Linked DNA regions of Canis lupus familiaris. The main gene of each other region encodes a partner of the protein of the gene in region 2 in a complex. Links are inferred from orthologs where the notes say so. Each region holds a gene or a part of one and is shown on either strand. Other genes may lie near its edges.

What was found. Proteins that work in one complex are often made in the same cells at the same time.
Region 1: the proteins of OPRL1 (region 2) and PNOC are in contact, whole or in part, in a cryo-EM structure (PDB 8F7X), measured with the Homo sapiens proteins. The link is inferred for Canis lupus familiaris from reciprocal best matches to the Homo sapiens genes OPRL1 and PNOC. Residues at the interface, in NP_000904.1 of Homo sapiens: Gln107, Asp110, Gly114, Phe115, Trp116, Val126, Ile127, Asp130, Tyr131, Met134, Gln192, Glu194, Ile198, Glu199, Cys200, Leu201, Val202, Ile219, Val279, Gln280, Val283, Gln286, Gln291, Pro292, Ser293, Val298, Leu301, Arg302, Thr305, Tyr309; in NP_006219.1 of Homo sapiens: Phe130, Gly131, Gly132, Phe133, Thr134, Gly135, Ala136, Arg137, Lys138, Ser139, Ala140, Arg141, Lys142, Leu143.

Annotation. Positions count from the first base shown.
Region 1 is NC_049246.1:29,395,107-29,399,673, forward strand, and holds part of PNOC (prepronociceptin), read right to left. Parts: intron 1,412-4,567; coding exon 1,021-1,411; coding exon of another isoform or gene 1,010-1,020; exon of another isoform or gene 963-1,009; intron 1-962.
Region 2 is NC_049245.1:48,374,956-48,380,014, forward strand, and holds part of OPRL1 (nociceptin receptor), read left to right. Parts: exon of another isoform or gene 1-1,431; 5' UTR 1,432-1,524; exon of another isoform or gene 1,525-2,719; intron 2,720-3,168; 5' UTR 3,169-3,200; coding exon 3,201-3,433; intron 3,434-5,059.

The DNA.
Region 1 (4,567 bases), on a different chromosome or scaffold from region 2:
GGGCTGCCCCCATGCTGAAGTGTGGGTGCCAAAGATTAACAGTTGTATTAATATACTTTGAAAATGAGGATTATTAATGATCTGGCTACCTTTGACATATAGAGAGCAAAATAAAACAGCACATGTAGACTTTTTTAATGCCCCTAAATCAGGGAAAAGCCTCACTTGGGTAATGTTCGGGGGAATGTTTATGACCAATTGATTAGTTCTTTCTATTAGGGTAAGTTTCTACTGTTAACGAAGAGGTATGAGGCTCTGCAGATAATCAGATTCCCATATATGAATTAAGGCACATATGTTTGATGAGTAGAATTTTCTTAGATTTTCAGAAAAATTCCACTGTGCTAGTTTTCTACTCCACTAGAAGTTCTGTACAGGGTGACGGACCAAGGAAAGTGGAATTTGTAATGACTGGGCAATAAATTAGAGGGTTTGATGTTTATTATCTGATATGTATTATAGTACATGTAGAAGCATTCCCTTGGGCATAAGATGGCCCAGATTCTCTAAGCCTTGCTCAGTGATGATGATGAAGTAGGTCTAGCTATGGGTTCCTAGATAGTCTCTGAGGAAAGGTGAACTGAATGGTTACTATGGCAACTGGATAGGTAGATTGGTCCACTTAACTGTCCCCATAGTAACTGAGCTCCTGGAGAGTGATAGAGGAATTAGTTATCTTAACAGGCTACTATTATCCCCATGGTAACCAATCTCTAAATGGCAGTGGTCAGCCCTAAGGAACAATCTGAGGAAAATGTTTGCTCCCTAGAGAAAGGATAGGTAGGAGGCAGAGAGGTGAATATACCTTCCCTGCCTCCCAGGAGCTGAATACCTTGGGGAGGTCTGGGATGTGTGTGTGTATGTATCTGGGGGCTAATGTGCTTCCAGGCCCAGGAGAAAGGCTAAGACAGTTGGGTATATAAGGTTTCCTTTTGCCCCCAGCTCATTCGTGCCCAACTCACTCATGGGTTGAAGTGGACGGTGCAGCTGGGAGGGGCTCCCCTTCCGGCTACACATTACCATTCTGATGCAAGGTGCGCCGGCGCTGACTGGACTGCATGCTCAGGACCAGGTACTGCCTCATAAACTCACTGAACCGCTTTTGGTTGGCCAACTTCCGGGCTGACTTCCGGGCCCCAGTGAAGCCTCCAAATCTCTTCTGCAGCTGCTTCTGCTCTATCTCTCCAGCCTCATCCATGCCTGGCTCGGTCCCTTCCTGGGCTTGGATTAGGCTCCTGATGCGAGGCATGCGCTTCAGCTGGATCTCAGAGGTACTTGGCTGGTGAAGGACAGTTGCCACGTGCTCTGGGGCAGCAGGGCTGAGCTGCCAGGAGCTCCTGGCCATGACCTTGGTGCATGGAGTCCAGAGAGGGCTGCTGAAGACCTTCCCTTCACACTCAAGGATGCACACCTGCAAAGATATAGGCAGCGTGGGGAGGGAGGGAGGGAGGAGAAGGATTGGGAATGTCCATTAGTCCAAGGTGATGACATAAAATCCTTCTATTGCATACAAAATCCACATTGGTACCAATGCAAGTGCTTCTGAAGCATCTCTTTTTTAGGTATCGTGTAGCAGTTTTACACATAATCACTCAGGTTTGTAGAATTTCAGAGTTGCAAAGACACAGAAAACTATCTGGCCAGAGAGGTGAGTTAATTTACCACAGGTATCACAGAAAGTCAGTGCGGAATGAATGCCCCAAACCACACTCAGAGCACTAGCTGAGTTTTTGAAGCCAATACGACTCACGACTCACCCATAAAAAAGAATCTTATTTTGTTCTCTTCCCAGGCTTGGGAGAGATCAGTTTGGTTTAAGAAGCTGGGGATGTCAAAGCATGTACTTAAATCTGCATGTTGAGATGAACCCTGGTGTGGTTCATTTTTCATCCCACATATACTCGTTCTCACTTACCTGTGTCTCAGTTATAGGAAATGAGGGTCAAGACCCTTTGGAATGTAGACAGGTTGGAGTCGGGTTTAGGTGGGGAAGAGGGGCCATCAGATACCATCCAGTAGACCTGCCAGGGCTCTGGGAACTTCTGCTGCTGCTCTGTCTCTCCAGGTGTCTTCCACTTCTAGTCTATACCAACACCCTGGTTGGTATAGGTTTCCATACCCTTCCTGACTTGTTCTGGCCTTGGCCATGCTTCCCACATTCCTATCTTTGTGCTTTTTGGAAGCATCTAACCTCCAACTTCTTTTACTATTTGCTGTCTTTGCTTCACCCCAAGTACTTCTCTGTGTTTCTGTCCTCCGCCAGATGAAAACCCCATTTCAACTTGACCTTGCCATCACAGTCACTGGGTAGCTGCGGAGCCCTTCATCAAACCTTGGAGCTCTTGCCTGGCTTACAGGGCATCAAGAGATACTGCTCTGTCTGGACAGCTGTGGGACATCAGAAGACTGGAGTGTGTGCCCAGTATCCCCTATCTGGGGAGCAAAAGCCTCCCCATAGTGTTCAGAGTGGCACAGATGTTAATGTAGGCAAGGTTTCCCACCGGATCCCTAAACAAGGATCCCTCCTTGTGCATGAAGCTAAATCACATACCTTATAGCCATCACACTGAACTTGAAAAAATGGCTCCTCCAGTCCCGCTTCTCTGCGACCCTTTGCCACTCTTGACCCTGACCCTCTTTTGTCTCTGCCAAGCTTCTCCAAGATGTGGTCTGTACTCATGCCTCCATTTCCGCATCTTCCATTTTTGCCTCATCTCCTTGAAATCTGCTTTCTGCCCTCTTCTTCCACTAATTGCCCTCTCGAGGACCACCAGTGAATTCCCAGTCACCAGATCCACTTGGGCCTCGTTGTCACAGACTATGCTGCATTTGGCAGCACAGGCCACACCCTCCTGAAAATTCTCTGACATTGCACTCACCTCTCAGACTCCTTCCTTCTGGGTTCCTAAGATTCTATCTTTAAGATTCTTCAAGATTCTTATCTCTCTTTACAATCTTCCCCTTGGTGACTGTTCATTTCTGAACATTTTGGTCATAACTTTCAGAGCATCCGAGGTCTATAGGTTCAGCGCCTGACATCCACTGAACTCCAGACACTTCTCTGATCCCTGTCTGGTATCACCATCAAAGTATCTAACTAGCACTTTAAATGCAAGTTGTTAAGAATTCCCTTCTGGGGCAGAGACTGCCAGTTGCTCATTCCATACCCATCTTGCCGCTTCCTTCCTAACAGAACACTTGTCTTCTTCCAGAAGGCCACATGTATGTTTCTCAAACTCCTTTTTAGCCAGAGGTGGCCAATGACATAAAAATGGAAGTGACAAGGTGGGGCTCCTGGGAAAGTAGGAGGCTGACTCATCAGGGGAGAGCATCCTTTCTTCCTTCTTTTTCCCCGTCCTCCAGCCTCCTGCTGGAACTCAATTGGCTGGAACTCAATTGGCTATCTTGAAGACATGAAGTGACTCAGAGGATGGAAGCCATGTGGGAGTGGCACCCATATACGGATAAAGTAGAAAGAGAAGGAGCCTGGGACATTGGCGATGTGGTAAAGCTGCCATACCAGCCCTGGATTATCTACCTCCCAACTTCTTTATGAGGAATCAAATCGCTGTCTTATTTAAGCCATTGTTACTTTAGGTCTTTCTTACTAGCAGGTGATATACCTTCTCTACCTTAAGTCTGCTCTTCTGCTTGGTCTGGGTGGGAATCCAAATAATCTCAAAATTATTTATTTATTTATTTATTTATTTATTTATTTATTTATTTATTTATTTAATTTATTTTAGAGAGAGGGGTTGGGAGGGGCAGGGAGAGTGGGAGAGAAGCAGCCTTCCCATTGAGCACAGCGCCTGAAGCCGAGAGGACTTGATCCCATGACCCTGAGATCACGACCTGAACTGGTGATCAAGAGTCGGACGCTCAACCAAGTGAGCCATCCAGGTGCCCCTCAACACTTTTAAAAAGACAGAATTCAAAAGCCAGTTAAATTCCTGAGGAATAGAACCAGGGATTAAAATGCACTTTTATAAAGATCAGGTAATTGTGAAACCTACCTGGGTTTGGAAACTGCTAACATAGTCCATGTTCACATGTTATGATGAGGTTTAGTAATTAATGTGTCCAAAACTCCACTGTTAGACAAGATATTACCTGAACGAGAACCCAAGACTTTCAATCCAGGATGTCTCCTATTCAATGAGCCCTGTGTGCTTGCAATACAAATTGGTGTAAATTAATACAAGAGTAAGAATCTTGCGAGACTAAAAGGTAAAGTTCTGATGGGAAAATTGCTAATTTTTGCTGGGCCAGAGAGAAGAAAGAGACAGTAGCCAGTGGGAGTGCCACTTATCTTCTCTGATAAGATTTCCAAGGTGCACCTTTTGCCAGGCCCCCCTGCTAGCCATAGGTAGTGACGGTGGCCCCTGCTGATATACAAGTCGTGAGCATATCTTTTCCATTTAGATTTTCCTCAGAGATGCTGATAGAACTATTATCATTAGTGCCAACTCAGCTGAGATACAAAGAGAAGCCACTTTTTCACATCCACAGAGTCACTGGGTATGAATGAATGGGAGCTTCCATAGTGGGGGGAGGGTAGACTTTAACA
Region 2 (5,059 bases):
CGTTCCCGTGAGCTGCGAGCTCTGGCTGTCCTGGGTGCCCCGTGATGTGGGAAACTTCCTTCCCCTCATAGCCCATGGGCGAGTCCTGGGGGCAGCAGGGTGCCCTCCGTCCGCGGGCTCGGCTGCCTTGCTGTGGACGCTCTGCCGAGGGCAAACGGGCCATCAGCCGCCGCCCAGGTCCTGTGCGTCTGCTTCTTTTTGGGGGGGGCGCGACGAGAGAGCGTGTGTGCATGGGGGGCGGCAGAGGGAGAGAGGAGGCGCCGGCAGGCTCCACACTCACACGCAGCTCGACGTGGGGCTCGACCTCACCACCCCGAGATCGTGACCTGTGCTGAAATCCACGGGTGGCGTACCGGACCGAGCCCCCCGGGCCCCAAGGCTGCTGAAACGCCACGATTCCTTTGGGGACGTCCTTTACCTCTGCCTCAGCTGGCGATTGGCCCCGAGGGGTGTGCCGCCGAGGGGTCTCAGGCTGAGGGCCCGCTGGATGGCAATACATGATCTGTTCCCAACAGTAGTGGGACCCCTCCTTGTTTCCAAGGTGCCTGGGTGGCCGGCGCTGTCCCCACCCGCTCCCAGCTTGGACGGGGACCCTCAGGCTCCGCGGCTGCCCACCGGCCGGTGGCTAGCTTTCATAGAACCACCTGTGTGCACCTGGCCCCACGGTCCCACGTCACCTGTGTTCTGTGCTGTCCGCATGTGATGTGTGTTTGAGGGTGTCCTGCTTTGGCCCCGGGCCCCTGGCAGGACGTGTCCCCTGCTGTCCTACGAGTGACACATGAGCCCTGGGTCTTACCCTGGCTGCTGGGGGGACCAGAGGCCCCGGGCCGTTTCCTCTGTGCCGCTGGCTCCCTCGTGGGAGCCCCGTAGGGTCCAGGGCTGGGCCACTGTCCCCCAGGGTGGGCAGTCAGCATCCCAGCCTGGCCACCCACTAGCTGGGTGACCAAGTCTGTCCTTGGCTAAGACTGTCCCTACGAGTGGCCAGATATCTGCCTCTGGCTGTCCTGCGTGCCAGGTCCCCTGGGTGCACTCCCTGGACGTCTTTCTGGACCAGCCTCACGGCCCCTCTTTCCCTCGTCTGTGCCTGAGGCTAGATTGCAAGGAGGAGGGCGTGGGTGCCTAGGGGGAGGCAGGGCCTGGGGTGGGCTGCTCAGACCCCGGGGGCGCGGCAGGGGGAGGGAGGCTACAGGAGGCCGAGCCTCCCCGGGCTCCTGAGGTCAGCGGGGTCACGTTTCCAGCGTCACCTGGAGAGTGCAGTGCACACGTGTGCCTCCTGGGTGTCTTCAGGCCTTGTTCTCTCCCGCTGCGCGCGGGACTTGAATGCACGTGGTGTGAGCTCACCTGTGTGAGTCTGTGCGTGTCTGAGCACCAGCCTGTGCTTGTGTGTTAATTCGTGTATCTGGGGGGGGGCATCTTCGTGTGTGTTTGCAGGCATGTGAGCCTGTGTGTCCGCGTGAGTGTTCCTCTGGACGTGCCCCGTGTCTGCACACGTGTCCCTGAGTCGGCTGCGGTGAAGATGCAGAGGTAAGTCCTGGGGGACGGCCTGGGATGCTGAGTCCTAGGGCGCCTGCTTGCTCAGTCCTCTCCTGATTTGCCAGGTATCCTAGCAACGCTGCTGCTCGTCGCCTAGCAACCAGGTCCCCATCCTTGGAGATGGATGCTCCCAGCAGGGTCTGGGCTATGGGGGTAGAGCCTGTGCAGGAAGAATGACCCCAAGGTTTCGAGGCTGGTGACTTGGCTCAGGGGTCACCCTCATGGCCTGTGAAGCACCCTCCCAGTGCTGGGAAGGAGGCAGCTCCGTGGGAGCTGTTGGGCTGCTTGGGTGCCAGGGAGGGTGGCCCAGGCTGTGAGGGAATGATGCTCAGATGTTGCTCTGGGACCCAGGTGTGGCAGGGACGCCCTCAGTATGTCTCAAAGGGGTGCACAGATCTGGGTTCTAGCCCTGTCTCTGCCCCTTTGACGGGTGGCTGCACAGCGCTGAGGCTGGGTGCTCCTGTCACACGAAGGTGACGGGGTGGTGGGGAGGGAGCGCTCAGGCTCACGCTCACGCTCACGCTTATGCTCACGGTGGGCAGGTGGAGCACACAGAGGCACCCAGGAGCACAGCACAGTGTAGGCACCTGCTTGGCTCTGAGCCCTGGGGCTGGCTGTCCCTGTGTCCCCCGCCCATGGGACCGCGGGGGCCGGCTCCCCGGGGAGTGGAGTGCCAAGCCAGGCGGGTCTGCGTCCACCCGAGGTCCTGGTCTCTGCATCTTGTGTGTGTCTCCCGAGTCTCCGCCCGCGTGTGTGGCATCTCTGGCCCGGGTCTCGGTGGTGTCCTTGGGTGTCTGTCCCCTGACCCAGTCCCGCGTGCGTCCATGTCCTGTGTCCGTGGGCCCGAGCCTGTCCCTGTCCTTCAGCTCCGTGTGCGCCCGGTGCTGTGGCCTGGCGGTGACACCCCCCTCGGCCGCAGCCCCTCCTGCTCCAGCGCAGTCTCCGCCCCCGCCCCCCACTGGCTGCGGGGCTGCTGCGTCTGCTCCTCGGCTCCAGAAGGAGCAGCTGCTCCAGCGGGCTGAGCTCCCCCTGCGCTCCCCCTGCGCTCCCCCGGCTCCCCCGGCTCCCCCAGCTCCCCCTCCGGCTTGGATCCGGGCTCCCCTGCAGCCCCTCCAGCCCCAGATCACCGGCCGGGATCCCTGCGGCGCTGCCAGTGCTGAGGCTGCTCGGCTCCCACCCGTTGCAGGTAAGGCCTGGGCAGTGGCCGCGGGTGTGGACCGGCGGGGTGGGGGGTGGAGGAAGAGGAAGGGGGCGGCTGGCTCACGCCCTGCGTCCCAGGTGTTTCTCGGCGTCTCCGTCCCTTCTGTGCCCGTGTGTGCGTGAGGGCAGGTCTGCGCCTGTGTGTGCGGCGTGTGCACAGGGATGGCGGTGTGTCCACGGTCCCTGTGGGTGGGCGCGTGTCTCCGCGTGTAGCTACATCCGCACATCCCACGTGGGAGTCTGCAGGCCAGACCAGACCGTGCCCTTGTCCACACGCCTGCCTCTCTCTGTCCCCGATCTGTGCGTGTCTGCTGTCCCCACGGTGTGTACGTGTGCGTGTGTCTGGGGCTGTCTGGGGGCACCGCGTGCCTGCGAGGCCGCCTCCGGGCTGGGTGAGGGCCGGGTGCTGCGGTCATGTGTCCTGTTCTCTCCCAGGTGCCTAGTGGCCTTGCACACAAGGAGGTGGCATGGAGTCCCTCTTCCCTGCCCCGTTCTGGGAGGTCCTCTACGGCAGCCACCTGCAGGGCAACCTGTCCCTCCTGAGCCCCAACCACAGCCTGCTGCCTCCCACCCTGCTGCTCAACGCCAGCCATGGCGCCTTTCTGCCCCTTGGGCTCAAGGTCACCATTGTGGGGCTCTACCTGGCCGTCTGCATCGGGGGACTGCTGGGGAACTGCCTCGTCATGTATGTCATCCTCAGGTAAGCTGGGGACCCGCCGAGGTCCCCTCCTGGTGAGTGCCACCTGCTGCAGAGGGGACACAGGCTGGGGGCTGTCTTGGGTGGGCTTGGCAGCTAGAGATTTTGCACAATTCCCATTCAATTTTTGGTCATCCTGTCAGGCAGGGGCAGGGGCAGGGGCAGGGTCCGGGTCCACACGGAGGCCCTGCATGCTCGAGTCTTCACGGCTGGGGCACCTGACTGGGGGAGGGCGTGGGAGGGGATCAGCTCTGCCCACCCCAGTCCGGCCGGGGGTGGGGTGCAGCCATGTCCCAGATGGAAGGTCACCCTGACTCCCTGATCCGAGCTGCGGGCCACCCTGGGAGGGGCTCACGGCTGGCACAGCGACCCGGGAGGCGGCTCTGGCGGCCTGTTGCAGGGCCCGCGTGGCCAGGTGCCCGAAGCCCCTTCCCTGGGGCCCCAGGGCTCCGTCTTGGCTGGAGTCGGGGCTGACTCAGCATCTGCTGGTGCTCAGAGTGGGGAAGCCCGTGGGATCAGGAGCGGTGGCCCGGCTGCAGGTAGGGGGACACCACAGGGGGACAGTGTGAGGACGTGCATGTGTGTGTGTGTCCGTGTGTACACATACGTAGAGCATGCACACACACGTGTGAATGCACATGCGTAGGTGGGCACAGAACTGTTGGTGCCCACACACGGATGTACGAGAGTGTGTGCACATAGGAGCTAGTGTGGCACATGGTGTACACGCATGTGCACACACGTACATGCATGCAGGTGCACCTCAGGCTGGACATGCACACATGAGCACGTACACGCGAGTGTGCACACCGTGAGCGTGTGGACATGGACGTGTGCAAGGTGTGTGTTGGTGTGTTCGGTGCACATGCTTGCACAAGGGGCAGGGGAGAGCTGCTCTGGGCCCAGTGCTGAGCTCCAGGGGCCGGGGCTCACACGCCCCTTTGCGTCTGGAGGTGCACAGGCGTGCCGTGCGTGAGACGCGCCCCCACCTGGGTGGTCCTGTTCCCTTCTCCTTGTCGCTGCCTCTCCGCCTCTGTCCTCTGCACTGGGCGTCAGCGCCCGGAGCCACGTCCTGATCAGAGCAGACAGGGGCGCTGTGTCGCCTACGGCGGTCCTTGCACAGCCGAGCGGCCACGGGCCCGAGGGGCAGCGCCGAGCATGCTGGGCCCGCACTGGGTGGGCTCCTCGGGAGGCAGAGACCCCAGGCCCCCCGCCCTGCTCTTTCTAAGAGATTTTATTTTTAAAAAATTTTTAGAATTTATTATTATTATTATTATTTTTTGAGATTTTATTTTTTAAAGAGGGGTTTTAGGTTCAAAAGCAAAGCTGAGAGGAAAGGACGGAGGTTGTGCAGACTCCCTGTGCCCTGCGGGCTCATCCCTCCTGAACCCCAAGCCTCCAGCACCCCCTGCCCCGTCTACTGTCTCCAGAATGTCATGCACCCGGCATCACAAGTGTGCAGCTTTCTCAGATTGGCTCCTTCCCCTTAGTGATATGTGCTCAGGACTTCTCCATGGCTTTTCATGGCTCCTTTCTTTCTTTCTTTTTTAAGATTTTAAAAATTCCTTCATTTCAGAGAGAGAGCAAGAGAGTACACAGGAGAGGAGGGTGGAGGGGCAGAGGGAGAAG